Linked DNA regions of Drosophila melanogaster. The protein of the gene in region 4 interacts with the protein of the main gene of each other region in a pairwise test. Each region holds a gene or a part of one and is shown on either strand. Other genes may lie near its edges.

The links.
Region 1: the proteins of Nnk (region 4) and CG8319 interact in a two-hybrid assay, tested with the Drosophila melanogaster proteins (one large-scale study listed by BioGRID).
Region 2: the proteins of Nnk (region 4) and mei-S332 interact in a two-hybrid assay, tested with the Drosophila melanogaster proteins (one large-scale study listed by BioGRID).
Region 3: the proteins of Nnk (region 4) and CG4617 interact in a two-hybrid assay, tested with the Drosophila melanogaster proteins (one large-scale study listed by BioGRID).

Annotation. Positions count from the first base shown.
Region 1 is NT_033777.3:9,624,183-9,631,473, reverse strand, and holds CG8319 (uncharacterized protein), read right to left. Parts: upstream 4,154-7,291; 5' UTR 4,077-4,153; coding exon 3,565-4,076; intron 3,504-3,564; coding exon 2,864-3,503; 3' UTR 2,798-2,863; downstream 1-2,797. Other genes in the region: Calr (calreticulin), read left to right, coding at 709-796, 921-1,025, 1,294-1,766, 1,859-2,413; CG9427 (uncharacterized protein), read left to right, coding at 5,138-5,239, 5,515-5,805, 5,910-6,047, 6,142-6,252; CG8312 (uncharacterized protein), read right to left, coding at 6,896-7,291.
Region 2 is NT_033778.4:22,119,348-22,127,160, reverse strand, and holds mei-S332 (meiotic from via salaria 332), read right to left. Parts: upstream 5,061-7,813; 5' UTR 4,961-5,060; exon of another isoform or gene 4,599-4,960; intron 4,259-4,598; 5' UTR 4,164-4,258; coding exon 3,687-4,163; intron 3,626-3,686; coding exon 2,897-3,625; 3' UTR 2,794-2,896; downstream 1-2,793. Other genes in the region: GM130 (golgi matrix protein 130 kD), read left to right, coding at 1-952, 1,008-1,520, 1,580-2,401. UniProt on the Drosophila melanogaster protein: Plays a central role in chromosome cohesion during meiosis and mitosis by preventing premature dissociation of cohesin complex from centromeres after prophase, when most of cohesin complex dissociates from chromosomes arms.
Region 3 is NC_004354.4:7,100,674-7,108,429, forward strand, and holds CG4617 (uncharacterized protein), read right to left. Parts: upstream 3,819-7,756; 5' UTR 3,722-3,818; coding exon 3,688-3,721; intron 3,632-3,687; coding exon 3,119-3,631; intron 3,057-3,118; coding exon 2,347-3,056; 3' UTR 2,162-2,346; exon of another isoform or gene 2,037-2,161; 3' UTR 1,882-2,036; downstream 1-1,881. Other genes in the region: CG8300 (uncharacterized protein), read left to right, coding at 4,483-4,719, 5,121-5,441; fz4 (frizzled 4), read right to left, coding at 6,708-7,576, 7,639-7,756.
Region 4 is NT_033777.3:17,800,588-17,808,136, reverse strand, and holds Nnk (nicknack), read left to right. Parts: upstream 1-2,887; 5' UTR 2,888-2,968; coding exon 2,969-3,082; intron 3,083-3,140; coding exon 3,141-4,096; intron 4,097-4,158; coding exon 4,159-4,281; intron 4,282-4,480; coding exon 4,481-4,607; 3' UTR 4,608-4,912; downstream 4,913-7,549. Other genes in the region: Odj (oddjob), read left to right, coding at 1-101, 159-483; CG17801 (uncharacterized protein), read left to right, coding at 1,068-1,190, 1,248-2,044, 2,115-2,228, 2,289-2,400; CG17806 (uncharacterized protein), read left to right, coding at 4,971-5,081, 5,132-6,150, 6,207-6,342; CG17803 (uncharacterized protein), read left to right, coding at 6,976-7,011, 7,087-7,413.

The DNA.
Region 1 (7,291 bases), 8.2 Mb from region 4:
AATGTAAAAGTTAGCACTTATAGATAAAAAAGTTCCTAAAATTAACGAAATACAGGTGCAAAGTTTTGGAATTCCTTTATTTGTTTTTGATTTGTATTATAATGTATAATTAACATTCTAACTTTTTAAATACTATGAACTTTATCGGGTGAAAACTTAATTGTTAACATGTGATGTAAGTGTGAGTTAAAATTTTCAAAACCCTTAAGCCGTTAAAAAGCTTAGGAATGTTCTGGAAGCACAACTGTTCTTCCTGTAACTACTACAATTGTTAAGTAGTAGAAGAATTGTTATTGGAGTAATTTTATGTTTTCTTAGCTTAGCCTGCTGCAAGTGATTAATTGTATGCCAGAATATATTAATTTTATATATTTTATAATTTAATTTAATTAGCAAACGGTCACTTTAGTGTTTCTAATTCCAGCTCAAGCAATCGATAGCGACAGGGCAGCATGCGATTGCTTATCGAAATCAGCCCTGGCCGGTGAAAAAGAATACGTAGACATCCCTGATTGGCCTGATTTGGGCCAATGAAAACGTTCCAGCAAACCAATTTCAGTAACAAGCCGTCCCGCTCCGACACGCACGATTTAGATGCAATAAATAAATAGCACTTTCTTGCCGGCATTTAGTACTTAACTTTAACCGAGTTCGGACAACCATCGGAGTTGGAAGAGTCAGTCCAAAAAGTGGTGCGGGATCGTTCACATGATGTGGTGCAAAACAGTGATAGTGTTGCTGGCGACAGTCGGCTTTATTAGTGCCGAGGTTTATCTGAAGGAGAATTTCGACAACGGTAAGTGGTAGTCATCGCGTTCTATGGCCGCCATGTGGTCCTCCGCTCCCCTTCAATGAATAACGAAAGGAGAGACAATAAAAATAGAAGAATAATAAAAGCACTCCCCCGCTTGTTCCCGTAGAAAACTGGGAGGATACGTGGATCTACAGCAAACATCCTGGCAAGGAGTTCGGAAAATTCGTCCTCACCCCCGGTACCTTCTACAACGATGCTGAGGCCGACAAAGGTAGCGTATATGTGTCGATGTGTCGTCACTCCCTTTTCCAAATCTTTCTCTTCGCTCGTTCTGCCATTTTTATTTTTCGTCGGCGTGTTATCTGCATTTGTATGTGCCCGTGTATGCGGAGAACATGGGCACGAAGAAGAAGAGGAAGAAGAAGAAAAACCACTACGTGTACGTTTTCGAGTAGCTATAGTAACTGTATACACATTTTTTCTCGCCCCCCACCTCCGCGCGGCGCGCATTCGTATTGATGTGGACACACATTATATAGGCATTCAGACCTCTCAGGATGCTCGATTCTACGCGGCCAGCCGCAAGTTTGATGGCTTCTCCAACGAGGACAAGCCCCTCGTGGTGCAGTTCTCCGTGAAGCACGAGCAGAATATCGACTGCGGCGGCGGCTATGTGAAGCTGTTCGACTGCTCCCTCGACCAGACCGACATGCACGGCGAGTCGCCGTACGAGATCATGTTCGGCCCGGACATCTGCGGACCCGGCACCAAGAAGGTCCATGTGATCTTCAGCTACAAGGGCAAGAACCACCTAATCAGCAAAGACATCCGCTGCAAAGATGACGTGTACACCCACTTCTACACGCTGATTGTCAGACCCGACAACACGTACGAGGTGCTCATCGACAACGAGAAGGTGGAGTCTGGCAACCTGGAGGACGACTGGGACTTCCTGGCCCCCAAGAAGATCAAGGATCCCACCGCCACCAAGCCCGAAGACTGGGACGATAGGGTAAGTTGTAAATCCCCGCCCAAATCAGACTTTAGCCCATCGAAAAACCGGTTTGGCTCATTGTTATTAAACAACAACGTAAATCTCTGTAGGCCACCATTCCCGATCCCGATGACAAGAAGCCCGAGGACTGGGACAAACCAGAGCACATTCCCGACCCAGATGCCACAAAGCCTGAGGATTGGGACGATGAGATGGACGGCGAGTGGGAGCCACCGATGATCGACAACCCTGAGTTCAAGGGCGAGTGGCAGCCAAAGCAGCTGGACAACCCCAACTACAAGGGCGCCTGGGAGCATCCCGAGATCGCCAATCCCGAGTATGTGCCCGACGACAAGCTGTATCTGCGCAAGGAGATCTGCACCCTGGGCTTCGATCTCTGGCAGGTCAAGTCCGGCACTATCTTCGACAACGTCCTGATCACGGACGACGTGGAGCTGGCCGCTAAGGCTGCTGCCGAAGTCAAGAACACCCAGGCGGGCGAGAAGAAAATGAAGGAGGCCCAGGATGAGGTGCAGCGCAAGAAGGACGAGGAGGAGGCGAAAAAGGCTTCCGACAAGGACGATGAGGACGAGGATGATGACGATGAGGAGAAGGATGATGAATCTAAGCAAGACAAAGATCAAAGCGAACACGACGAATTGTAAGGACGTCTAGGGAAAATTACGTCGAGAAATATTCGGTATTTTTTGTGTGTTGGTAGCTGCTTTGATGTTCTAAGCAAACGGAAACCACAATTACAATTTGTAAGACTTATAATTTATAAACATACAACTTGTTGTTTTTTTCCATTGCTCTTTTCGAGCGATTTAAGGGTTGTTTAGCTTGTTTATCAAAATGGTGGTGCCACGTGAACAAATCACGGCCGAATGGCAACGCTGTCTATATCGTCGTGTCTACATCGAATTTTGATTTACAGAAAAACGGTGTTGCCACTCCAAATGGTTTTCAAAGTGCTGTTCGAATTCTACGAAAATATAAATCCTAAATTCAATTAAATCCCAATATGAACTATAGAAACAATGAGATATAAACATAACCGAATCCTAATTTATTTATTCGAGTAAGCCGTGGTATTTGGTCAAGAATTTAAGGTATCACTTTAGCTTTAGCTTTTGATCTCCATCCCGATGCTTGCCCAGAAAGTGCCGCTTCAGATGATGTTTCTCCCGGAAGTCCTGCAGGCAGATGGAACACTTGTAGGGCCGTTCATCCGAGTGGCGTCGTCGGTGCTTCGCCAGGTTATTGTTGTCCGAAAAAGTCTTGGGGCAGTGGGGGCATTGGTAGGGCTTCTCGCCCGTGTGTATGCGGATGTGGACCTTAAGGGCCTGCTTGGAACGGAAGTTGGACACGCAGAAGGGACAGGCATGCGGCCGTTCGCCCATGTGCGCATGGATGTGCACCTTGAGGGCCGACTTGTTGAAGAATCCCGTTTGGCAGTATGAACATTTGTGGGGTCCGTTTCCCTGTTTCGATTCCGCGTGGATCAACAGGTGCGCCTTGAGGTTTTGTTCGCGAGTAAAGGCCTGCTGACAGTGGGGGCACTGAAAGGGCGAACGCTCCTGCATATCCTTGCATTTGTGGCTGTCCAGGCTCTGGGTGCTTGAAAAGACCTTTAAGCATTCCGGGCACTCGACGGTGGAATTGCTATTGCGATAACATTGGTGGTTATCCAGATCGGCCTTGAACAGAAAACGCTCTTCGCAGTTTTGGCATACGTGTGAATTGCTGTGAACCCTGTGGAATGAGATATACAATTTTAAGAACAGGTGAAATCATATGTATTGATTGTAATTACTTCATGTGGTCCAGGAGGTTTATTTGGCGCTTGAACTGTTTGATGCATAGTTCGCATTTGAAAGTCTGATTCTTTATACTCCTTAGCTGTCTGCCAGCTCTACTGGTTGTTATGGAAGACTTGGTTGTTCTGGAAGCTGTTTGATGTGTCTTTTTAATTTCCTTGTTGAGTTTCTTCTTTGCTTCCAGATTGCCTTTGTCTGGGTTCTCAATGAATAGGAAATCCTCCTCGTTGGGCTCGTCCTTGATGACCTGCCCATTTAATATCGCCAAATAGAACTTCTTGTAGTTCTCTTCGCATCTTCGCTTGAATCCGTAAGCAGTTCGTGCATCGTGGACACAGGAAATGCACATTTTTTGGGGCATAGCGTCGTCGGGATCCAACTGCACGTCGGCACATGTCTTCACCATCTCAGCGAGCTTGGCTCCATCAACATATTCTTCCACCTGATCGTCGAAAATGCCCAGCATGTTTTCCGAGGCCCCGCCACAAATTCGACACAGGTCCTCCATTGCTTAACTGCTGTTTAACTACAGGTCATATTTTTGGTAAACAATAAACTATGGTATAAACTTTTGTGTGCTTCTTTGTTTGGCTTTGGCTTAATAGAGATGAACTTTTCTGCCGTGACTTTAGTGACTCCAATTTTCGATCACGGTATTTATAAATGAAAGGTAAGCAAAGTTATGTTGTTAATAAAATAACAAGAAATTGAAAATAGTAATTCATTATAATTCATAGTTGATAATTTAGATTCATTGAGTCACGGTTTTTAAAAGTAAAATCTATCGATAACTGTAGCCACAGTCGCCAATCGATTGCATTTAAATAGTTCGCGCTACACCGTTTAGACTCAAATAAAGCAAATAATTGTATTTTAAACGCTTCCGTGAAATTGGCCATGCAAATTAGTTTGATATGGAAAACGTAGTTACTAGTTGGTATATTTATTGCAGACATGAACAGACTAAGTGTGAATATAATACTATCCTTTATGCTGTCTCTTCTGATATGGCAGACTTTCACATATTACTCGGTACTTGAAAATATATGCCAGGAAATCAAGGAGCAGCTTAAGTTGAATATGAAACAGGTGAGATACTGTATCTTTAAATTATGCTTATCTAACAAAGAAGTACATAAATATAATACAATAAATATAATAGCATAGTTATTGACAAGTAATAAAAAGTTTATTAGCCTTCATAGTAACTTCTTCCCAATATTTGCACTAAGCCAAAAGTGTTAATTATCGTATTGCGAATCCGTTAAATGTATGAATGCTTAGTTAAGCTTTTTAAATCGAAATCAGGCTGAGTCAAGAAACCGGCTTGCCTGCGAGAACGTCGATGAGAGGTGGTAAAACAGCTCTGCCCGTTCCCAGTTCGCTGCTAGCCAAAATTAAGCACCGAATGTGACAAAACGGCGGCGCTCAGTTGCTCAACTAAAATCGAGTCCGACGGTCGCGTTAGCTTGGGCTTGGCATTCGCTGCGGACACAGAAGCCTTCATTCCCGCACTTCGTCGAAGGTCGATCGATTTGGCTAACCAAAGCTCAAATTACTAGTCACAAGATGACGAAGTTGGCGTCCACCGCAAGCCTTCTGCTTCTCGTTCTGTCCCTCGGATGGGCGAAGCTCGAGGAGAAGCCACGGGAGAAGCGCCAGTCCAACAAGGTTTGATTGCAATCCAACGCCTTTGGCTTTTTTGTTTACATTAAGTGAACAAATTCTTTTAAGCTGTGTTCTCTATACTATTTAAATTCGGCTAGAACTAGTAATATGATTAAGAAAACACTACTTTCTTTATGTAAATTTATCTGAATCTAGATTCTAGAATTATTCAGTAGCCCAAAATGAATAATTACTGGTATAATGCGAAGCCTAATTAATAGTTAAGGTGAAAGGCATCATATGATTTTTATCTTTCGACTGAATAATTCCTTTTTTAGCTGCACATCACCCTCCTTTACGAGTCCTTGTGCCCGGACAGCAGGAACTTCATGCATCAGCTAGGACCCGTTTACGAGGAGTTCGGGGACTACATTGATATACTCTTAGTGCCCTTCGGAAAATCGCAGTCGGAGCGCAATGGTGCCATCTTCCACTGCCAGCACGGACCGGCTGAGTGCAAGGGCAATCGCCTCCAGAGTTGCGTCATCAACAGCACCGCAAACCAGGCGGCGCAGGTTAAATTCGTGGTGTGCCAGATGCTAGCTCCGGATTATTCCCGCATTGATCAGGTAATCTACCTTCCGCGTACTCGTTGTGCTGTGTTTGCCCAACTGATTAACGCCCATTGTGTGCATTGTACCCATTATATATACCTTTACCATTCCATACGCAGTGTGCCAATGAGGCAGGCCTGCTCACCGATGTGGTCCACTGCCTGTCCAGCGAGACGGGCACCAAATTGCAGCTGCAGGCGGAGCTGGTGACCAAACAGTACAGCCCGAGCTTCATTCCCACCATCGTCTACAATGGCGTAAGTATGAGTAGCCGCGATCAATCGTCGCCGTAATCGAATGCACTCAACTGGTTTTCTTATTCACATTCGTATTCGTTTCCACATGCAACAGGTCTTCGATCAGCAGCTGCAGGACCATTCGCTGCGCGATTTCCGCGGCACGGTTTGTTATATGTTGCGTCAACAAAACTTGCTGCCCAGCAGCAGCACAATCTGCCAGTAGATAGATCTGCTAAATGTCCAATGTAATTGCCTCAAGTTTGGAATGAAATTAAAATTCATAAACGCACAAGAATGCCTGTCCTCTGGGGGAATGGAATCGATATAATCACAAGCGAATCAATAAGGTCACAGAGAACAAACAGTACAAAATTGGTTTAGGTTCTTTCTATTTTAGGGCTATAATTCGTTCTAAATGTAACATAAATCAAATTTTGATATCATATATATATAATTTAACCAATTGTTATTGTTCACACTTTCCTCTGTGCAGCACACACACCGTTCAGATAATAATTTATATTGATAAGTAAGATACAGTTCATCAATGACAATCGTGTAAATGTATATAGTACATGCAGTGCGTAGGGCGACTAATTTATTTACAAATGCGTACAATATAAATTCATTATTTTTGGATCAAGGGGCACAGATTTAGATGATGGGATGGAAAATGGGGGATGGGCGAATATCGTTAGGTTTTCCTCTCGATGAACCAACAACAAATGACTTAACGACTAGGTGCTAATAGCTAATCTACAACTAGGATTTCAATTTCTTGCACTTTGTGTTTTGCTATGGTCGCTGACGGGTGTGCAGAAATAACAATTTGTAGACGGGTTTCCGTTGTAATTAAAGCATTTCGCTCAGACAGCGGTGCCCGGAGCCTTACCAGCGGATGAGCCCGCTGAGGCGCCGGTGGCCACCGCGTTGAGACTGAGCGAGCGACGTGGAGCCGGCTTTGGTGGTACCTGCGGCTTGACGGTCGCAATCTTGGCCAGCGTAACGCTTGCCTCGCTGATCAGCGGCTGCTGACCCGGTCGCTCCTTCTCCTGGAACTCCACGTAGCCGCTCTCGTCGCTGTCGCTGTTGTCGTCATCCGGATGGTCGCTCCTCTCCTGCTTGTCGCTGCCGGAATTGCTGCGCTTCAGTGTGATGCTGCTCGAGCTGCTGTAATTGGTGGCATCGCCGCTGTTCTTGCGCAGCTGCTGCTCCAGTCTTTGGTAGATCATCATCTGCTCCAGCACTTGCGCCTGCTCCAG
Region 2 (7,813 bases), on a different chromosome or scaffold from region 4:
GGGAGCAGAGGAGCCGGTGGCTGCCACCACGCAATCGCACTCGTCCACTGTGAGCATATCCAGCAATCTGTCGGAACGGTCAGACAGCGAGATAAATGTGAACGGTGGAGGAGCAGGTGGGACGCAGCCGCCGGAGCAGTCTGCCCTGCCCACAGCCGCTTCTTATTTTGCCCAAAACGAGTCGGAACACAATGGTGGACTGGCAGATGCCTCTAGCTTGCAGGCCATCCAGGTGATCATCGCTGAAAAGGCCCAGCTCAATGCGGAGCTGACCAAGGTTCGCCTGGCTTGCCGGGAGCGTGAGCTAGAGCTGGAGGAGCTTCGCATCCTCAAGGATCAGAATCAATTGCGTCTGGAGCAGCTACAACAGCACTGCCAGGATCAACAGTCGACCGGTGAGCAGCAGCGACAGCAGTACGCGCAACTCCAGGCACAACTGCTACAATCGCAGGCACAAATCAAGGACCAACAGTCGCATCTCAACGAACTAGAGGCCCAGCTAAAGCAGAGCAACCAGCATCAAGAGGAACTGCAGCAACAGCTTTCCCAAAAATCGAACGAACTCGAGATGGCGCAGCTGAAGCTGCGGCAGCTCTCAGACGAGTCTAGCGTCACCACAGACAACCGAGTGGAGTCGCTGGTGCAAACACAATACATGTACGAGCAACAGATACGCGACCTCCAAGCGATGGTGGGTCAACTAACGCAGGACAAGGAGCAGGCAGCTGGTCAGTATCAAAACTATGTGCAGCATCAGAGTGGCGAGATCGCCAAGCTCAACGAACGAAACACAGAACTCTCAGAGGTACTGAACTCACTGAGGGAGCGAGAACGCCAGCTTGTGGAGCACGTGGGCGCCCTGGAGCGGGATATACAAAAGAACATCAGCCTGCAGGCCCAATTTAAAGAGGCCAGTCAAGTGCAGCCATCCAAGGAAGAAACCAGCGAGCAGGTAAGTAAGCCAAAAAAATATGGAAAACCTGTTTAATCTCCTAGTTCAATTTCAGAAAGCCTTAAAAGATGAACTGGCTGTCTTGAAAGAGCAGATCGAAAACTTCGAGTTTGAGCGCCACGAATTCCAGCTGAAGATCAAGTCGCAGGACGATCAGCTGCAGTTAAAGAACTCGGCTTTAGACGAGTTGGAAAAGCAACTCGAACGCTTGCAAGCTGAGCAGCCCGATCAGTCCAAGCTGTTGGCCACCATGGAGTCAGACAAAGTGGCCGCATCGCGTGCCCTAACCCAGAATGTAGAGATGAAAAACCAGTTGGACGAACTGCAGCAGCGATTTGTTCAGTTGACAAACGACAAAGCCGAGCTGGTCATCCGCTTGGATTCAGAAGAGTTTGCCAACCGAGAAATCCGCCAGAACTACAACAGCATGGAGCAAAAGCTTCAAGCAAATGAGGAGCGCTTTAAGTTCAAGGATGAGGAAATGATTAGACTATCGCACGAGAACGTGGAACTACAACGTCAGCAGTTAATGTTGCAACAGCAGCTGGACCGTCTCAGGCATTATGAGGTGGGTTGGACTGGGATTAAAATTTAACTGACTTTATATCCCATTATCATTTCTTTCAGGCAAAAGCTTATCACGCCGGTGAGGAAACCGAAAAAGAGAATGGAGCAGATGCACCGGAAAACGAAGCAGAGGAAGCGAAGGAAGTTGGTCTTTTGCATAATCATTCGCACGATCACTCTCATCAGCATTCCGACGGTCATTGTCATGATAATGACCACGATCATTCCCATGAACATAACCATCATAATGCTGGTGATCATGGTCATCCACATGATCATCCGCACGATCACACACATGATCATTCACATAGCCATCCACACGATCATCAGCATGATCATCCACATGATCACGGCCAGAACCACGCCCACAGACAAGCAGCTGAAACGCTGCCCACCGCCGAGGCCGTGGAACGCTTGCAATCGCGTTTCACCACACTGATCAGCCAGGTCGCCGACTTGACGGAGGAGAAGCACAGCCTGGAGCATCTGGTGCTCCAGCTGCAGAGCGAAACCGAAACGATTGGCGAGTACATTGCCCTCTATCAAACGCAGAGGCGCATGCTAAAGCAGCGTGAGTACGAGAAGGCCGCCCAAATGCGTCTCTTGCAAGCGGAGCGAGAGCAGCTGCGCGAGAAGATTGAGGCACTAAACAAGCTGGTGGTCAGTTTGGGCGTGGAGCTACCCGCAGATGCCGCCCAGGCAAAGCAACCAGAAGCGGCCGCAGGTAGCGAACACACTCCTGGCGAAGGTGAAAACTCGCAACAGATCATCAACAAGATACAGGACATTATCAGCGAGATCAAGGAGAACACGGAGCAGCCAAGCCACAACCATGCAGGAGACCATCTCAACTGTTGTATGGGCAAGTTCGAGGTAGTCTAAAAGAAGTGCAATTATCGCCTACCTACGTATAATCATTACCCTTTTGCTACTGTATTTAATTGTAATTGTAATTGTACTTTGTTCTTCAGAGTCTTTTGTAAATGTTTCCAACAACTTTGTGCGAATAAACGTAGTTTGCATCTAAGAGGAATCTATAAAATGAGTTCCCCTAAAAGCGTATTAACAAATAATTAATTGAAACGTTGTTTTATTCACAAATGAACATGTAAAAATTAGACGTACTTTTAAATTCCTATTGGCATCTTTGGGTGATGATGATGATGGAGTGTCTTCCTTCCGATAGCGCTGGATGAACTGAATATGCCCTCTATTGCAGGCAAAAAGTAATCCGATGTCAGCTTTTAGTCTATAAATTAAACTTATCAGGGCCTGACGATTTAAAAATATTATTCATATTAAAAATGGTAAAAAGTGGTATTGAAAACCAATGAAATTACAGAAACAACATTAAAGCCTATTAAAAAATTCGTCTATCTACTTTTTGGCCTTGGCCTTGCCTTTCGAGCCATTGCGCAACTTGTTCTTCAGACTTGGCTCCACCAAACTGGTGGGCCTGCAGCTTCTACTCGGCCTTGCGCTGTTGTTGCAGAAAGAACTAGACATATCCGTATTTTCTGATTTCTTATTAGCCGCAGTTCGGCTTCTAGTTCTTATAGATGGCATTTCCTCGACGAGAAAGGATTTCGGAGTGCTGGTGCTTCCGGCCATTTTGCCTATCCCATTGAACAGGCTTCTTCGCGGCGTTAATCCGTTGACATCAGGAAATATTCCAGACGATTGACTAGGCCTGGTGACTGCCAGTCGTGGGCACTGTATGCTTGGCTCCTGTGGAGAATCTTCCACAGCTACGGAAATAGCCAACCATGATCCCTTCCCAGTCTCTTTTCCCCGACTGAGGGACACTGCTACAGGGATATTGGTGTCCACTTCCCGCAGAGCCCGTCCACTGGGCGTGACGGTGACTTGGGCGTTTGGCGGACTACTTTCAAACGTTGTGTCGCAATAGATGGCCTCGCATGATGATGACGAGTCTGTGGACTCCCCTTCACTGCCATTTTCCTCTATAATGCTAAACAGACGATTGTTCTCTTCATTTTGCTCAGTCTGTGTCTCCTCCACGGGGCTTACTGCTTCGTCGAAATCATCGTCCGAGTCGTCCTCATCAAACACTAATTCCGCTGGTCTTCGTGGCGGTGGTGTAGGCTGTACTCAAGCCGATAATGAATCGTTAAGAAAAGCATAATCAAATTTAAGTATAAGTTACCTTGTTGGCTCTTCTATCCTCTGGTATCCTAGTGGTCACCACCTCGGACTGCACTTCTGCGCTGGAGCGGCGACTAGTGGACGATACAGTACTGGTCACTGAGGAAGATCTTCTTGGCGAGATTGGTCTGGTGGTGCGGGCCAACGCACACGTCCGTCGCATGTCCTTGCAGATTTCCCTGGAGCTGCGACGCGGGCCGCTTGGTCTGTTTATCTGAGCTGCGGGAGCGGGCTCCTGACGCACTGCCAGGGAATCGGAGTCCACGTTCAGGCTCAGCATCAGGCTGCGTACGATACTGATGTTCTCCATGCGCTGGCGATGGTTTTGCAGGACGTGCTCCTCCCGAATGTCCATGATCTCTCGCTCCAAAGATATCACCCGCTTCCTGTACTCGCCGATCTCCAAGCGCTGCTTCTGCACTTGGTCCATTAGCTCCGCATTCAGCAGCTTGTACTGCTGCTCCACTTTGGATCCCATTTGCTTCTTCTGATCTACTTATTCCATACACAAAATCCAGACAGACGACGCCAATAGCTTGTTTTGAATTTTGAAATAGAGTGACCGTTGTTGTGCTATTGGAATATACCCCAGCTTAAGGAAAACTTTTTGAAAGTATGGCAACGCCGACCATGCTCTTAATTAAAATGAAATTCTTTAATTTTGGGCCATATATATAAGAAACAATACAATCCGATGTGAATATATTTTATTTTAATAATTATAAATTTGTTTGTCTCATTTGCACGACAAGAATTAGGAACCGTTGAGTTGGTGCGAATTTGATCGTACATGCGTTACCAAGGGTAATTTTCCATTTAAATTCTACACGTATGCCAAAATGCTAAAATTTCGCTTAGTGGAAGCTGTGTATATTGCGGGACACCGATTTCGATAGGCACAAACCATCGAGAGACATCGATACGTCTATGTTTCTCTTACACCTCTAAGCTGCACAATAAATTTATTGTTTTCTCGACCGATTGCGAAGAAAATCTGGATATCCGTGGTAGATAAACAATGCTGCAGCGCTAGAACCCGGAAATCGAAGTGAATACGCGTTTCGGGAGGTTGTAGATACACCTTGCAGAACGCGAAAATCGCACTGAATCAGAAGTCAGCCCACCTGGCAGTGTGTGCGTGCGTGTACGTGAGTGAGAGTGTGCTGTCGCAGTGTGCGTGTGTTTGTGTAAAAATGAAAATCAGTCGGATTTGTATCGTCGTTGTACGTCTTTTAGGCATTTAGCCAGGCTTTTACACATTTCTACAATTCTTACCAACAGTGGGAGGGACTTTCCCCCCGCACTCACAGGACACGATACACATCACATGCAACACCTGTGCACTCGAAAAACGATAGACGGATCTAGCGCGCGGATTAACTTAACTTAGGAACACGGATACGGATTATACACCATAGTTTCGGAAAAATACATTAGGGAACCGCTTGCTATGCTGTTTCATCTCCGCCAGAGAATCACGACAATCACCTGCTGAAACACCGAAGACAGCCAGCAGCCCAGAGAACCGAGAATTTCATTCACAGAAGCTACGACCGCAGTCGAAAACCGAAACCCGCTTCAAGGTGAGTCTGTTTGTAAATCCAACTCGTTTGGCTTTGTACCCATTTAGTCGATTGAGTGCATCACTCAGCACTCAGAATCCGAAGTGGTACGGACTTATCGAGCGACCTTATCAATTCTATTTCGCACGGTGCCCAGAAATTTGGTAATTTATGGCAAGTTCAGGAACCTCTTCGGTACCAGTTCCATGTAGGCAATTATCTTATCGCGCCCTCCGACAATTTCGCCACGATATTTGCGACTAATGGTTGTGTGTATGTAAAATTGCATTTTCCAAGATATGGGGCTATATCTTATAGCCTCGAGGTACACAATAAACAAACACATACCAGCGTTAGTAGGCAGCTGTATTTAGACTTTTTATAATATTTATTCATATGTCCATATTCCAGATTAATCACCATTATTTGCATATATTCTAAGTATAGCCGACAGTCCATGTCTTGCCCGATTTGATTTAATATTTGAGCTTGCATGAAATTTATTTTTTCCTGTGTCGGAGAACACGAAAAGCCTTTTCCACCGTCTAACCGGCTAAAAGGGGTGCAATAAACTCGGGTCGCTTTGATTTTCTCCTGTTCCGTCAGCGAATGCACTTTGTTTTGGTTTGTTGTCGCTTTGTCTTAATCACATTAAGCAAAACGCCCGGGCACGCGACGCATGACGACACCAAGTGTTGCAACACCAGCGAAGACCCATGGAGCATGTGGCCACCCATGCCACCCCATAACTGACCTACAAAGAGTGCATTGCTCGACGGCCGACGAAAACTAAATTCGCTGACTAGGGGTTGATTCATTCGCTTGGCTCCCTTCAGCGATGTGAGTGCGAATTGTGGCGGTTGAACTTCGATGGTATGACATAATCTGGGCTCTTACTATAGCCATTTGAAGAGGCATACAATCGCAATCTTTACATTAGATTTATTACTTGTAGAGTTAGTCACAAGTTTTAGCTTAAGCGTGCAACTTCTGGTGTCGTGGTACCGGTGTCCGGGTTCCAGTTGTCCAGCACTCCCATTAGCTGAGCAACGAATATCTGATAGTCGAGGAACGTCTTGTTTATATTCTCATTTCTAAAATGCTTTACTACTCTGCGATGGTGGAAAACAGATATCAAAACATTGAAATACAAGACTATAGAAGTTGTTATAAGTAATTTCTTTTCTCTGTACCGAAAATAACCCTCGTGGCCAATTTAGTGCGCTCTTTAAACCATCCACAAGTGTGAATGGGCTTCGAGCTCCTTTCCGTAATGCTATGCATGGCACAAAGGGTCGTCCCAGTCGCCGGGTTCAATGTCATTGGCGTGGCGTAGGCCATGGCAGCGGTGGGCACATGGCACCGACCCATCCCAACGTCCCATTCCATGGCATCCCGTCCAGGAGTCTGCCTGCTGCCGGTCTATTGTCGAGGCTGTTGTGCATGCCCCACTGCAAGTACACACAGAAATATCGAGTGCTGCTGCAGTGACACACGCAAAGACTGGTGATTGAAGGGAGGGTGGAGGTGAAGGTGTGTGGGGCACGGGGTGTGGATATGGGGTTTTATGGCCACGGGGAGTGGGCACTTGTCGGCCTTGTGTGCGGCCATTTGTCAGTCGAATTGGCTGTCGTGCATTTTTCGAGCACTGCATCACACGAGGTCTGATTGGCACGTAGTAGAGAGAGAGAGTCGGTCGTTTCTGTCAGCCTTTATGACGCTGAATTATGCTGCACTTCCTTGTGCAACCTGGAACTGAATCATAAAACTACAGTGAGCTCTCCAGCACACCGATTTCTGACTACAGTTTCGAGCCCCATGCCGAGGGCTTTCGCTTCCTCGGTGCCCCGGTGACTCATAGTTTGTGTTTGACTTGTGTTCACATCACATTTGCAGTTGCACTGCGAACACTCCTCTCTCTCAATGTGCTTTAAGCATGAAAGTAATTTTTTTGAAAGTGATTCAATGTTCAAAGAGGAAGACCAACTTCCCATTTCGAATCTTATCCGACTAAAAAATGAATTGGCACATGAGGATGTTTAGCTGAGTATTTATTTCTTAGGCACTTAGAATGACCGGGTTGTTGTTTCTAAGAGCTGTTAGTGGCTCTTTTTTTCCATGTGTAGTGTATGCAAACTAGCGAACCCAACACCGTTGTTGTCATTGAGTTCATCGTTGTCTCGTCTCGACTCTCATGATGTGTTTACATTAGTTATTTAAGCATTGTGCGACGGTGCTGAAAACCGCATTTTAATAGACCCGCCGGCAACAACGGGCTTAGCAACTGAAACAGCCACATCAAGTGCAACAATGCAATATTTATCTGTAAGCAAATATGGGCCTTACATCACACACGCGCAGCAAGCGCTGATGAGGTAGCCGATGTGGCAAAGGCAGAAGCTTCAATTACAAAATGCAAAATGCAAATGCAAAATGATGCATGGTGAAACGCTTAGATCAGAAGTAACACGAAACGCAGTGTTTAGGCTCATAAAAGGCCATTCAATGCGGTGTATTCACTCATATGTGGGATATATACTCGCAAATGAATCAATACAAGGTTTTT
Region 3 (7,756 bases), on a different chromosome or scaffold from region 4:
TCTATCTTCGCCTTTTGGGCCTCGCCTCGAGTGATAAGCCAGCGCTTGGCCAGCTGCAATAATGGTTGGACAATGGAAATGGACGAGCGGCCGGACACTTGAGGCATTCCTGCATTGAGACTAATTTATGCTCATTGAGTTTCGCACAGACAACTTGCATACAATGGCCCAAGGTTGGGCGATTTTGACCCGATCCGCAATTGAAACCAGTTCTCTGATTGCCGGCCGCTTATCTCGCGTGTCGAGAACATGGCTCAAAGTCCGATTCGGATGAGATGTATGTATGTACAAATGAACATATGCCCATCCGCGGGCGCACTATTATGATTATGGCGTCTCTCGGAATCCGATTGCACTTTCAATCCAAAAGAAAAGGTTTTCATTCTCATTACCCGAAGAAGTTATAATATGATTGATTGTGTAAATGGCAATGTTTACCAATTATTTGGTATTTGAAATGCGAAAGGCGAGTTTTAAGCTCATCTTAAAGTTCAATTGAAATGAAAATGAGCTGCTAGAAAAACCACGCGTTCGTTTTACATAAAAACCTTGAGTTTTCCTTTTAAATTAGTTCATATATCTAGATAGTTACCAACGGGAAAACACGATATTCGATTCAATGACGGCGTGAATTTAATGAAACATTATAGTTTTAAGATCTGCCTGTATTTGCCCGCAATTGAGAGGACTCGAAACTTTGCTGGCTTGTCTGTTCTGAGTTATGACAACTTTTCAATAAACCAACGATGGTGGAATTAAAACACCTCCCAGTTCCCGGCGCCCCCAAAAGTATGCCCCATTGGGCGCGGTGGGAGGTCACGGGGTTGAAAAGCATAACGAACAAACCCCCCACCCCCCCTTCGGAATTTATCACCATAACGACTATGCTAAGCGGTATAAAAATAGATACCTCGGGCATTCCTTATATTGCCAATTACAAAACAGCGGGCGGGGAGCTAGTGCACTGCGAGAAAATGTCTGGACTGCAAATCGCAAGGTATTCCATTTCTTTTTAAGCTTTGAATTTAACAGTTACTGAATCGAATTTATTTTCTAAACAAATTGTGCTTAAGAATCCTTTAAAGTAATTCATTTCACATTCATGTTTTTTGGCTAATGATATTTCAGCTTAGTCTTAAACCTATTTTATCTTATTCAACCAATCTTTCCATCTTTTTTTGTGCCTTGCTTTACCATGTTATTTTTCTCAGTGCACAGGAAGATTGTTTACATCTCCCATTCAGAATCAATCGCCGCACTAATCCAATTTGTAGCGCTGCCGTCACGCAATTCGCCCCTACAACCTGACCGTCCACCTACACAAGTATTTTCCATCCCAATCACAGCTGCTGCCCCCCCCCCCCCCGGAAAATCCAAAAAAAAATGCAGGTGGAAAACTCACCGTTTTTTTGCTGCCGCGGATGTGGCTGCGGATGCTGTGCGTGGGCGGAAGCGGTGGCGGATGCGGATGCCGCGCTGACGTGCGGATCCGGGGCGGAAGAGGATTCGGAATCCCAGGCCCACGCAGGATTCTCAGGGACCCAGAGCTTGCTGCACTGCATCCGGGGATGTGGGAAGATTCGATTTGGCGTCCGTCTTCTTATTTACTTTCCGCGGACTGGCTAGTGGTGGGCAGGGCGGCGATGTAACATCGATAGCTCGCCGTTGTAACGGCAAGCCAAGTCATCGATGGCGCACCAGCGAAGTGCCATCTCTAGAAAGTAAGCAAATAATTAACGTATTTATAAATATTTAAAGTTTATATCTAGCTTATAGTTCCACTATTCGAACCTTCAATTATGGCTTATTTGAGATCATTTTTAAAAATATTTCACTTTTATAAAGATTTTTGGGCAGAGGAAGAAATCATCTCATATTTTTAGCTTTTATATTTATCTTTATTTATTACGTTTATTATAAAAAGTGCCTGCTTAATTTGAAGCTGAAATAAGAATCTTGTGATTCACATTTATTTCACTTAAGGATTATAGGATATTTAATGTTGCCTAATTCTACCAATGTTTCGATGATTTGTGCTTAAATGTTGCAAAAAACAAAAAGTGGAAATAAATAAGTGAACTACTAAACTTTTTAGCGTACGAATTTCAATTCAAGAAGCAAATAAAAAAAAAACTCAATTAGAGGGAGACCTTTTACTTACGATCTAGATGCTTCAGTTTATCAACTAGGCATATCTAATGCGATTAACTATTTCCAGGTTGGCCAACTCCTTACAAACATACAGATCCCGATGGCGACTCTAGTCGCCGCTGGAAGCGCAGCGGCCTGGTATGATTATATATATATATATATGTATGCATTTGCAGTTGCAATCCGGAATTTACTTCATAGTCCGGGCATTACGTAGGCGATGTTGTCGAGCGTGTCGGCCAGATTTTTGCTCAACTGCACATTGTTCTCCATGCCGGGTATTTGCGTGGTCATGCAGAGCAGCGGTCCCATGGCGCAGAGCAGGCTGTCGAGGAGCACGGACAAGCTGCCCGATAGCGCCACGTATCCATTGTGCTTCTTCAGTCGCTCGCCAATCACAGTCAGGCTCTCGCCGAGCAGCTTCAGATGTGCGGCCGCATCGATCACTTCGATGCTGGTCTTTTGCACCTCCTCCTGCTTCAGCTGACCCCCAGTCCGGCCGCTGACGTCCGCATCCGTGTGCACTTGCGCTTGTTTCGTCGCGCTCTTCGAGACCTGCGACCTGGCACTTCGTGTGCTGATGCTGCGCCGCTGTGTGTTGGTGCCAGTCGCTGCTGCTGCCGCCGCTGCGGCAGCCGCTTCTATTGAGGATTGCTGCCGATCGGCGGCCAGTTTTCGAGTGCGACTTGTTGTCGCACGGTTCTGAAAGATCGTCTCGTGCTGCGTGGCATCTGCCAGAGCCGTGCTGCCGTTGCTCGCCGGCTGGGTTGCACCGTTTGCAGCGGTTTTGTCGCGAGTTTTGGCCCTGGACGCCTCGATTTTGGCCTTGCGCCGCCAGGTGTTCTTGTCCCGATTGGAAACGTTCGCCCACAGCTCGCTGAGGCGTCTGGTCGCGCTGGTGAAGTCTGCAAGCGTGCGGGGAATGGTCAATAAGCGATAGAGAGCGCACAGATGTGTAGCAACCTACCTAGATCCTGGAGATCCTTCTGTCGCGCCTCCTTGGCCCACAGACTGTAGGCGGTGTAGCGCTGCTTGCCCTTGTCCTTGCGCTGCACCTTGGCACTCACCACCTTGCCGTCCTTGAGCACCTGCCGCTTGTTGGACTTCTCGCGCATGTAAAGACTCTGACGGACGGATGACTCTTGGCTGGTGGCCTCCGCCTGGACACCATCGACGATATCCTGCACCAGATTGTCCAGTTCATCGTCGGAATTCAGAATGGCCACGACCGTTGCCGTTGTATCCGGATGGAATTCCTCGCTATCCGAGATAATGCCATCATCCACGAGCATCTCCTGGTCAAGATCCAGATCACGCAGCGCATTCGATGGCCTGCCGCGGCCCGAATATCTGGCTGGCTGTCTGGCGCCACTGTGACGCCTTGTGCGCTTCTCGATCTCATCCGGAGATTCAAAATCCAACAATTTCGACGATTTTTTGCGTACGCGTCCGCTGCGCGAAACACCCGTCACCTGGAAATCTAATTGGGAATTTATGACCCCGATTCCATTGACGGCTGCCGCTTTTTCCACTCACCCTTGGCCACCAGGTGCGAGGTTGGGGACTCCATGTTTGGATACCTGCTTTGGAAGATTGGGATGCAATTTGTTGCAAAAAGAACGAATTAAACGAAGCAAACAAAACAGCTGTTTGGTGTGACCAGAGCTTTAAAACGCGATGCATTGCAAGCGATGGTTAAATATGGAACACTAGATAACCATTTTAGTTTTTGAATATATTGCTAAGTTAATAACCATTGCACCAGTCAATTGTACAGAGTAGGAAACCATTAAACTTAATTATTTAATAATATAATATTTTTTATTGTTATATTATTTAAATTATAAGCACAGGATGTGCACGCACAACTTAATTTTTTTATTATATTATTAATTATTTTTATAAACAAAAACATTTACGATATATACGACTGCAATTTCATTTTTATTACAATACATCTAAATTAATATCCAGTTAGCTTGCAAAAACCATCAGCTGGTCACACTGCCGCACCTTTGTTTTGTTTCGACTTTTTTTTTTGCTGTTTGAAAGCGGCTTTTAGTTTATCGATTTGCTTTGCACCTAACTGCGCCAAGCGCCCCATGGCACGCGATTCTCGCCGTTTGTGAGTCGTTTCGCCGGTGGCCCCCAACCCAAGGACATTTTGGCCCCCAGCCGGCCGTATACGCATTTGGCGTTGACCCGCGTCCGCTTTTTTCATGACCAAAACGGCGGCTGCGATTCAAACGAAGCTCAAGCGCAAGCAAAAACATTCGCGCAGCGTCAATCAATCGAGGCGGTACTTAATCGGGTTTAGAGCTATCCATAGCCATGTCAGCGGAGAGGAACAAGAGTGGCGAAGTACGCAGTGCAGCTGGAGGATTGGAACTGGCATCTGCGAGTGGAGCAAGTGCATCCGAGACGGACAATGTGAGCGCCCTTGAACTGCAGTCCAACAAGCGCATGCTGTACTTTAGCGACGGCGTCATGGAGGAGTTGTCCTCGGGCAGCGAGGACGAGGCGGATGCGGAAATGGGCGACAAATGCTACGACGTCCATTTAAACGAGGTACATACATTCAGCAAGGATTATGGGTGGAGTAATGCACTTCCGGCCATCCATTTAGTACATGGTCATGTAGCTGCATTGCTTGTTTACCTTTTTTAAAGCGGGATTGTCCGGATTAACACAGTTAGTTAAATTTGCTCAAGATTAGCCCAGTTCTCCTGATCCAGATAATAACTTTTCACTTTGAGCTCGAGACGTGACTAATGTTCGAAGCGAATTATGATAATAATGTGAGAAATTTTATATCTTTCAATGAAAATGTGTGTTTTGAGCTGTTTAAGTAAACAAACAGGGCCCAGGGCCACGAAAAAGATAAGCAGCTGCCACCCCCCGCCCCCCTCCTCATTGACCATTTAGCGTGACTCATTTAGCCCGCTTTTTTTTTTTTTGCCACCTTTTAGAGCGAAATGCCGCTGGGACCACGCCTGCGTTACAAGGCCAGCAGGATGGGCAACCGATTCCTGGCCGGCATCGACTATGTGGGCGGTGGGCTGGCCCACCTGCTTGGTATCACCAGCAGCAAGTATGCCAGCGAATTGGAGAACTACCACAGGGCCAAGGAGCACGGCGACGAGGACCTTGACAATTGGCACCCGCGGGCCATGTCGACCACGACCAGTAGCAGCAACAACAACAGCAGCGGCAACAACAATCGCAACGAAACCATCGTCCTATGCGAACCAACACGCAGCGAGGCGACCTTGCCACCCACACGGCAGTAGGCGCCCACTGGGCCACCCACTTGCCAGGTGGGTTGTGCAAGGTGGCGATTTTCTTGGCAGGAAGGCGAAACAAAATGCTCATGGAGTACTGGCGACACTTGGAGACTCTTTTACTTGGTAAAAACCATGCGAAACGAAATGAATCAAAACAGATATTAACTTTTCGACACTTTATTCGCTAGCAAATAAGTTATACATATACATATATGATAATAAAAAAAATACACATATAAAATACAATACAATACAATACATATACTGTTAGTCGCGGGCTCCATACGATTCGTATTAGCCCGCAATTGTATAAAGGTTAGTTAGTTTCTTAGCTAGTTAGTTGGACATTTAGAAGTAGGACTTTTTCTGTGCGAAAATCAGCAGAAGTTGAAGGAAAACCCTCAGTAATTCCGCCAAAGTTCGTTGCTGGAAAAGGACTCTTTTAAGGTAATTTCATGATATTGACTCGTTTCAGTTAAGTCCCTAAAGCTAATGGCACACTGAATACAATTAGGCATTACGGCTACGATTGCAATTGCGTTTTTTTTTTTCGATTGTTAAGTACACTTGTTTCGGCATCGGGAGAAGACAGCAAAGTTGGAAACCTAGTTTCTGGTTCCCATTTTTATTTTTTTGTTTTTGAAGACATGAACATGCGTATCACAGTATTTGGTTGCTGCGCGTTTCTCTCTCTCTCTAACTCAAAAAAAAAGAATTTATATAAAAATGCTAAATATATATATGTATATATGTGTTATGTACGCAAAGGCGACACACATTAAGTCCTAATGTCTAAAAGGCAAGAGCGATTATTGAATTTGGTTACACCAAAATGGTAAAAAGGCAACGCAAGGGGCAACTAATTAGGAGCAACATTAAGTACACACAGGAAAATAGGATATGAAGCCCATCTAGGGCAATTACAAATACATTGTAGATGACCTATGACCTCGCGATAAAGGCCCAAACTAAAGCACTAAGAGCACATTTCCGGGGTTATATACACAGTACATAGATCGGTTTACCCCATTGTGTTCTATGGACAGGCAAAGCAACTAAAATCGAAATAACGATATCGTTATCTCACGATCGTTTTATGACAAACAAATTGGACCGTTTCCCCACCCATTTAAGTTGCTTTGCCTCTTTCGATACCCGAAACCGCATTAAGTTATAGTAGAGGATTGACTTTGGCACAGCAGCTGCTGCAGGAACATTGACTGGAAGCAGGAAGCATTTCCTGCCCTGAAATGGTACCTAATCCAATTCCGTCTAGAGTAGCGTCTCATTGCCATACTGCTGCAAGTGGGGATAGTAGCTGCCGTGCTGGCTGTACTTTTGCGAGGCATAGCTACCTGGCGGATAATACAGCCGATGCGAGGATGTGGAGTGATGCTGGTGATTGTGGTGGGGATGGAACTGATGATGCTGCTGCTGCTGGTGATGATGATGATGCGGCGAATGGCGCTGCTGGTGATGCACGCTCCTGCCCAGCGAATAGTTGGACATCTGATTCAGCGATATAGAGCCGGTACCAGGCGAAGTCTTCAGTTTGTACGGACTTGGCGGCAACGGAACACTGGCCATAGAAGTTCGCACCGAATGGTAGGAGACCACCGTGCTATTGCAAGCCGCATGCGATCCACGCGAGCTACTATGCCCGTCCAGGTGTCCAGTTGCTGCTCCGGCAGACGTATGCTTCACCATTTTGCCATTGCTGACTTGCCTCTTGTAGAGAGTGGAAATGCTTGGTCCAAGTACCCAGGCAAAACAGCAAATGCCCAGCATCAGTTCCATGAAGGCGCGCAACAAAAATGGCCAAAGTGGCGTATTGGTATCACCCGATCCCAGCCAGACATCGATGTTGGCAAACTCGTAAATGACAGCCAACAGAAGCATGGCACATGCAAGTCCATAGATGAAAAGGAATATGCCAATGCCGGAACTACTGTGTGCGCTTAGCTGTTGCAGTTGCTGTTGCACGCTGAGTGCATTGCTATTCCTCAGGATCTCCTTGGTGCGACAGTGTACCAAATAGCCGGAGATCAGATTCATCGAGCCAAAGATCCAGTAGCAAAAAACGGGCGTAGCCACCAATATCTGTAGCGCCTTATCCGACTGATTGCCTACGAAACAGGCGCCTAGAAGAGCGTATGGTTGGGTTACTCTCCGAATTCTCCGGCGGATCTATAGCATATCTCACCAAGCAACTCGTCAGCATCCACGAAACGGGCAACGATCACTGCTGACGTTTGAAAGGCCGGCAATCCCCAGGCCACGAAGCACACAAAGTTGTTTTGCGTTAGATCCTGCTGAGCCGT
Region 4 (7,549 bases):
CTGGTGCACCCGTGCAAAATATGCGGCAAACGATTCAACAGCGAGAAGGGACGGCTGAAGCACGAGGAGGGGCACAAGAGTGACCAACCGGATGTCCATATGTAAGAATCATTGAAATATACGTAGCCATAGATGTACAAACTCATATTCTTTCACAGCTGCCTCACATGCAACAAGGAGTTCAAGGAGGCGCAGTTTTTGCATCGGCACTACTCCACAAAGTATCACCGCAAGCGGGTCAACTTGCTGGTTAATGGTCCAAAAGAGGAATTCCAGTCTGAAGTCGATCCGGCGGAGTTTCCGGGATATATGGAAGAGGGGCAGGCAGAAATGGAGGACAACCAGGCTGAACTGGACGTAATGTTAGATAACATTGACGAGGAACAATATGAGGACCACGAGGTACTTCAGGATGAGGACGCAAATTTTGAGGACTTCGAGTACGAGGAAGCCATTCCCGATGGAGAGGAGCTGTACACCTAACTTTAAGCACACAAAAAAAATCGACTGTTGGCGCCACACACTCCACACTCCACACGCCACAATGCCAGGGATGCAAACTATCTGACTTTTTCGGTGGTTCAGAGAAATCCTTTGAATCACCAGCCAGCCGTACGATTAGCACCAGTGTGGAAGGAATTCAACGTCGGTCTTAGATTACAATTTGTTATAAAATATATTTTATTCTAATTGCACAGCGCGCTTATTTTAATAAAAATTATATGGAACCAATTTCAAAAACGTCAGGAATTAGCCGAACGTGTGTTTTAGCTTGAACCTCTCTTTTTGGGAAAATTTAACCTCCCGTTTATAATATATAAATTTTAAATTATAAAAACTAGCTCGATGTTCCCTGGTTTCTAGGAAATAAGAACAGTTAGTTTTTCCACACCTATCTGGTAACGCCATGAAACAGGTAATTCATACAAATTTTGCTGCTTAGAGAGAGTAAACAGAAATTCTCGGATTGCGTACGCTCTTTTACCGTTTTTATTCCATAATTGACAACATAAAATCAATTAAACTACAGCTGATTGTTTTGGGAATTCAGCGGGATAAATGATCATATGTTTGAAATGAAAAAGCCTTCGCAATGCCATTTGTGCGCCTCGTGTTTCTGTCACCTGAATCCCACGATAATTTTTTGCCTGGAAGTTCTGGCCAAGATCAAGGATCTCACTGGAATATGGGTATGTTGATGGTTTCTTGTGTGCGTGAATGGCATAACCCATTTACTCCATTTACAGTTAGAACAGAATGAACGCCAGCCGCGTCATATTTGCCCATCTTGTTTAAATGACTTGAACACATCGATTAAGTTAAAGAAGCGCATTCAACGAGTTCACAATGAAGCAACGCTGAGGCGGGAATCTGGGCTTGATGAGGATCTAGAAAGCACTGTATCCGATATAGAGCCAGAAGGGGATTCCAGTGACTTGGAATCGGAGGAATCATATGATTCAGAAAACTATCCATTTGACAAAAAAGCAGAGGAATCCGATATTGATTTAAATCTCGCCCATGAGGATAGGAGAAACGAACCACATAATCCTTATGATTCGGAAACCCCCTTAATATTTAAGCATAAAAATCCATTAATTGAGACTCCTTCATTTGCAAATGAAAACTTGCCTAACAAAGTCGATGCAAAAAGCCCAAAAAAGGGAAACTTTATACAAATTGGAACCGATCTGAGACTACTTACAACGTATCCCTCTATTAAGGTAGTAAAGCCCCTTGCATTAGCTCCAGAAGATGTGGCAGCTGAGAATGTACCCCCTGCAAAAAGGACAGCTCGGAAAATGCAATCCCTGGTGTGCCCTAAGTGCGGAAGGGTCTTTAAGACTCCATACAACCTAAAGACGCATATGGTGCGCCACACGGGTGAGAAGAACTTTCCATGCACGTTCTGCGACAAGCGGTTCGTCACCAAGTATCTGGCTCGTCTACACGAACGAGTGCGCCACATGGGCGAACAGCCGTTTGAGTGCAACTTCTGCTCGGCAACGTTTTTCACAAGTACAGCTAAGTCGAGCCATGAGCGGTAAGTCCTTACTGCAATTGTATTTAACTTTAAAAGCGCTGACATAAACAATTTCCTAACACTATGACAGAATACGGCACATCAGAGATCTGAGGTACCAATGCGACCAGTGCACCAAGAGATTCAATACCAAGACCTGCTTGAATAAGCACAAGTTCCTGCACTCAGGTCTTAAGCCCTTTGAGTAAGTGAAATGATATGAAATTTGCGCATATTTAATACAAGTCGTGTATTTCCCTCTCAGCTGCGTTATTTGCCAAATCAACTTTGCCCGAAAGGCAACGCTAAGGAGTCACTTCGATTCGGTTGCTCACCAGAAAAGAGCCAGCGCCATCCTGGAATCCGAAGAGCATTGATTCGCCAAAGAATTAGAGATCGTTTTTAATTCCGTCTTATAAGATGCGGGATATGTAGATGAAAGCACGACTTGGATAATTCTGAGGCTCAGGATATCTATTAGACATAAATGTTTGAACGTATTCTCACTGTTTTGGCACTGGATTGCCCTTCGTTTGCTATAACTTTTTTGTATTACATTTTTGTCATTTGCTTTTCCTATTATGAAGTAGTTTCTTTAAGAGTGTAATATTTGGACAGCCATTCATTTCGAAATGTTAAATACCTTACTATTTAATTAATCGTTTTCATTTAAAAACAGAAAACTTATGTATAATATATATTTTTAATTCTTTTTTTGAAGTGGTAAATATATTTGGTAATTCCTATTTGCCACGAAAAGCAAATGCTTGGAGTATATTCCATAACGACCCTTGAATAAAAGGCGCCATTTTCAAATTTTGGCGCCACCGCTTGGCAGTCACCCAGAGACGCGGACAACAACAACAGTTCGCTGCGAATGGCCCAAAATGAAGCAGCAGCTGTTAATAAAGCAAGGAATTTTGGCTCGAAAAATAACTCTTAAAAATGACGCCACAATGCCGGTTGTGTGGAGATTTAATATACACGCAAAATCCAGTTAACATATTCGATGAGAACAGCAAAATGGTCAGGCAAATCGCATTGGTCACGGGCCTTTGGGTGAGTGTGTAAATTAAATTGGCAAATTTAAACCGCTAATGCTCGTTTGGTTTTCAAGCTCACCGACCACTCGAAGATGCCCCGGAATATGTGCTCCTGCTGCCTGCTGAGCCTGAAGAGCGCCATTGCCTTCCGGCAAGCCTGCATCAAGACCAACAATCGACTGACAATCCAGCGCCGAAGTGTGGAAGCCAAGGATGACGGATGCTGGGCTGATCCGCTGAGCGATGCGCACGAGGGGCTGAAGATCAACGATGCGGAAGTGGAGCAGGAGGTGTTGTACGAGGTGTCCTATGCGGATAATGAAGGACTGGAGGAAGACCACGACCTGTACAAGAAGGAGGAGGAAGAAAGCGAGGTTAATGAGAACAAGGAATTTGAAGATATTGCCTGCGAAATACCCTTCAGTAAGGAGGATGATGAGCAAGAGCAACAGCAGGAGTATGAGGATATGGTGGATAAAAAGACAGGACATGATGATGGCGAGGAGTCACAGGAATGTGAGGAGTCACAGCCAGATGAGGAGGAAAGTCAGCAAAATGAGGAGGACGAAGAGGAGTCACAGGAAGACGACGACGAGCTTTGGCAGAACGAGGACGGCGACAGCGATACAGATGCTGATTCTATGTCAGATATAGAAGCCACATCGCGTCAATCGGCCCTTGACGAAGATAAGAAGCCTCGTCGAAAATACACCAAGAGATCATCTCCCAAAAACGACGACACCGACTTTCTCAAACCTGCGAAGAAAAAACGAAAAACATACATAAGCCAAAAGGTCCACATCTGTGACCATTGCGGCAAGAAATTCACCGACAAGGGCAACTTTAATCTGCACGTGCTGCGCCACTCGGGCGTCAAGCCCTTCGAGTGTCCTGAGTGCGGACAAAAGGAGTTCAACAGGTACATCCTGAACATTCACATTCGGGTGAAGCACCGCGGAGAGAAGCCATACGCTTGCCAGTTCTGCGACGAGCGTTTTGTGCACAGTACTATGCGATCGCGCCACGAAAAGTGAGTCTATAGCATACCTTAAATCCCCTAAATTGCACCTACGAACACTGCCATTCTTTCAGCCGGGTACACCGGAACAAGAAAACACCAAAGAACTTCAAGTGCAACTATTGCGACAAGCGATACGAGTCGAACTACCAGAGGGCCAAGCACGAGGTGGTCCACACCGGCGAGCGTAACTTCCAGTAAGATCTTGTGAAGATATATGGCTAGATTTTTCTTTCTCCTAACATATTCCTTTAAGTATCAATCATCTTATTATTCCCACTTTGTAACTCTTTACTTCCTAATATCCACTACATCCAGCAATCAAGTTAACTATTTCCTGCTTGAAAAGTTACTTTTTCAAATGTTTAACTTTGTTTTTATCTACTTTCCCCTTAGCTGTGAGGTCTGCAAAGTGTCCTTTACACGGAACTCGAACTTGAAGACCCACTACCGCTCCAGGCAGCATCAAAATAAGCTGATCGCAATGAGTGCTAAGTCCGAAATTGATTCCAAAAATAAATAAGGTACAAATGTTTTGTTGTTAAGTGTTGTCATCCGTTTAGAGGTCTAATGTTCTTATCTGTTAAAATTATAATAATTTAGTATAAAAGTATTTCTAAGAAGTTAATAAGATGAAATATCATAAGATATCTGACTGTGATTTGGGTGTATCGATCAGTTTTGAAAGTGGATCTTTCATCCTCTTAAATATTTAACGTTTATTACAACAAATCCACAGTTCAAATCGGAAGAACTAATTCCTTGTAGTTCACTTTAAAATGTGCCATTCACACAAAACAATGATAAACTAGATTATTCTGTAAACAGAAGTCCAACTTTGTTTACTTGGCGGAAACTAAACAATTGAGTTGAAACTGCAAAAAGGATGACCACGCTGTGCCGCACCTGTGGCCAGGAGGCGGAGCACGCCAAGTCACTTTTCGATAAGGAGGCCAGAGATGTCCTGAGCAACATCCTCAAGCTGACGGGCTTTTGGGTAGGTGACTATTCCCGGTAACCACGGAGTCATTCCCTCTTCGATTCCAGTTGAGGAACCAGCCAGGTGTGCCAACGAGGATCTGCTTATCCTGCTTGCTGGATCTGAACGATGCCATCGCATTCCGGGAGCGCTGCATCAGGACCAATTCGTCTTGGTTCGAAAAGCAGGGCAAACAAGAGGATTCGGACACTGAGACTGCAAGGGAAGGCGGGAATAACAGGTTAGAAAGTAGGGTGGATGTTATGCCCATTAGTATTGCACAGCCGCAAAGGAGAAGGATTCTACCACAACGCAGCAAGAAAGTGGATGGAGTGCCTCTTAAGACAGTAGAAACCCCAATTTACCCTTTAGTTGTCCCGGAAATACCGCCTGCCGATCTCGTCGATCCTCTCCGGTGCGAGGATCCTATTCAGGTGAAGAGCGAGCCTCAGCTTTCATCTGATTATCCAGTGGAGTCCATGAATCACGAAGAGCCAGCATCCGAAATGCCCCAAGTCATGAAGGAAGAGCCCAGAACACTACAAGTCATCGGGGAAGTACAGAAAAACCGAAGAAAACCGAGGAGCAAAGGGTGCTTAGAGGAGTGTCCTGGCAAGGACATGGCTAAAATAGAGAATATTGACTCAACTACCAATAAGACCAAAGAGGAAAAGTATGCCACACGAAACAAATGGGGAGCTGCCAAAAGAGCCTATGCACTGGAGCACCGACTATATTTCTGCGACCAATGCGGCAAAACTTTTAGCGAGAAGGGCAACTTCAATGTGCACCTCAGACGGCACAAGGGCACCAAGGAGTTCCAGTGCCAGGAGTGCGACCGCATGGAGTTCACCCAACACCTGCTCAATTTGCACGTGCGGATTAAGCATCGCGGGGAGCTGCCCTACGTGTGCAAGTACTGCGGCAAGCGATTTGACAACTGCCTCAAGCGGCTGAACCACGAGCGCAACCACAAGGAGAGTCCCGTCCACCGACCACACGTGTGCTCCACATGCCAGAAGGCCTTCAAGACTTCGACGGCTCTCAAGGACCACATCGTGGTCCACACGGGGGAACAGCCATTCCAGTGAGTTACGGTCAAACAGACACTGTTTGGATCTTTACTTAATACATTTTCTTTAGCTGCGAGCTCTGCCAAACGTTCTTCAATAGAAGGAACGCCCTGGCCACCCACTACAAGTCGAAGCACCATCGCCTGAAAGTTGAGGAGCAGTCAAAAATGCCAAAAATGGATGCTACTGTCCAAGCGGATGGGTAAATCGTTGGTTCCTTGAGAGGATTATTTCGCATGTTCTGCTATTGACATGCAAAATGCCCCTCTGGAAACTTTCTAAAGTTGATGTCAATAAAAATTGGTTACAAATTGCTCCCTCATCCAAGCTGAGTAACGGGTATCTGATAGTCGAGGACTCGACTATCTTCCCTTGTTTCCTAATAAGATATGGCATAGCAGTAAATTGTGGTTTTGCTAACATCAATAATTTTCAATAAAGAATATAATTAAAATAATGAATTGGGCTATTCTCAACAAGTGCTTAAAGTAAACAAAAAGCTTAAAGCCATATGCACCGTACTAAAATCGCTACGCCCGTGAAAAGTGCTCTTGGCTACGCACATGGACACAGCCTGGAGTTCAACCCCTAGTTCAAGGTTATGCAGCCCTGCAAACTGTGCTTGCTGTTTTGCAGAAATTCGCAGTTTGCCGGCAAAGGATGAAGTGCGCAGTTCGCATCTGCGGCAACAGATTCCTCTGCGAGTTCGCCAGTCCAAGCACATCTCGGTGAAAGAAGAAAGCATATTCCGGACTTTCCCAACAGTCCGCGAAACTTTTCATCGACTCAACATTGCCGAAAACGGGAGAGCTCAAATTATTTGCGAATAACTTTCACAGATGAGGTCGTCTAGGACAGCCAGCGATTCAAAATGGGTGTGTCACTCAAACTCTTATTAATATTCTAATCTGGTATATTATGTATACCTTCGTTTTTTTTTTGCATTCAAGGTGCGCCAGTCAAACGACAACAAAGACACAATGCGCTCCTCGCGGCAGGTTAACAAAAAGCTTGTGAAGCTATTCCTGGCGGAGGCAGACGACAGTGACGCCACCTGCACCACATCCACTGCCCTGGACACGACCACAGCAGACAGTGCGTTTTTTGATAGTGATTTCGAAGAGGAGAGCACTGGGCTCCAGGAATGCGATCCCCCGCCGGCAAGCAAGTGCCGCACCTGCTTTCGCATCATATCGCGGCATGAGGATGCTCAGGATCTATATGACAGGGTCAACATAGCGCTTCTGCACCACATAAAGGTCATCACTGGGGTGTGGGTACGTCTGCGTCTGCATTTAAACTTACGTTTTCTTTTTTGTTGTTAAATTGTTTCATCTTCGTTTTATAAGTTAACTTTGTTGACAAGGAACATAATATGTGAGTTCTTAAACTGTTCTACCACAAATTTAACAG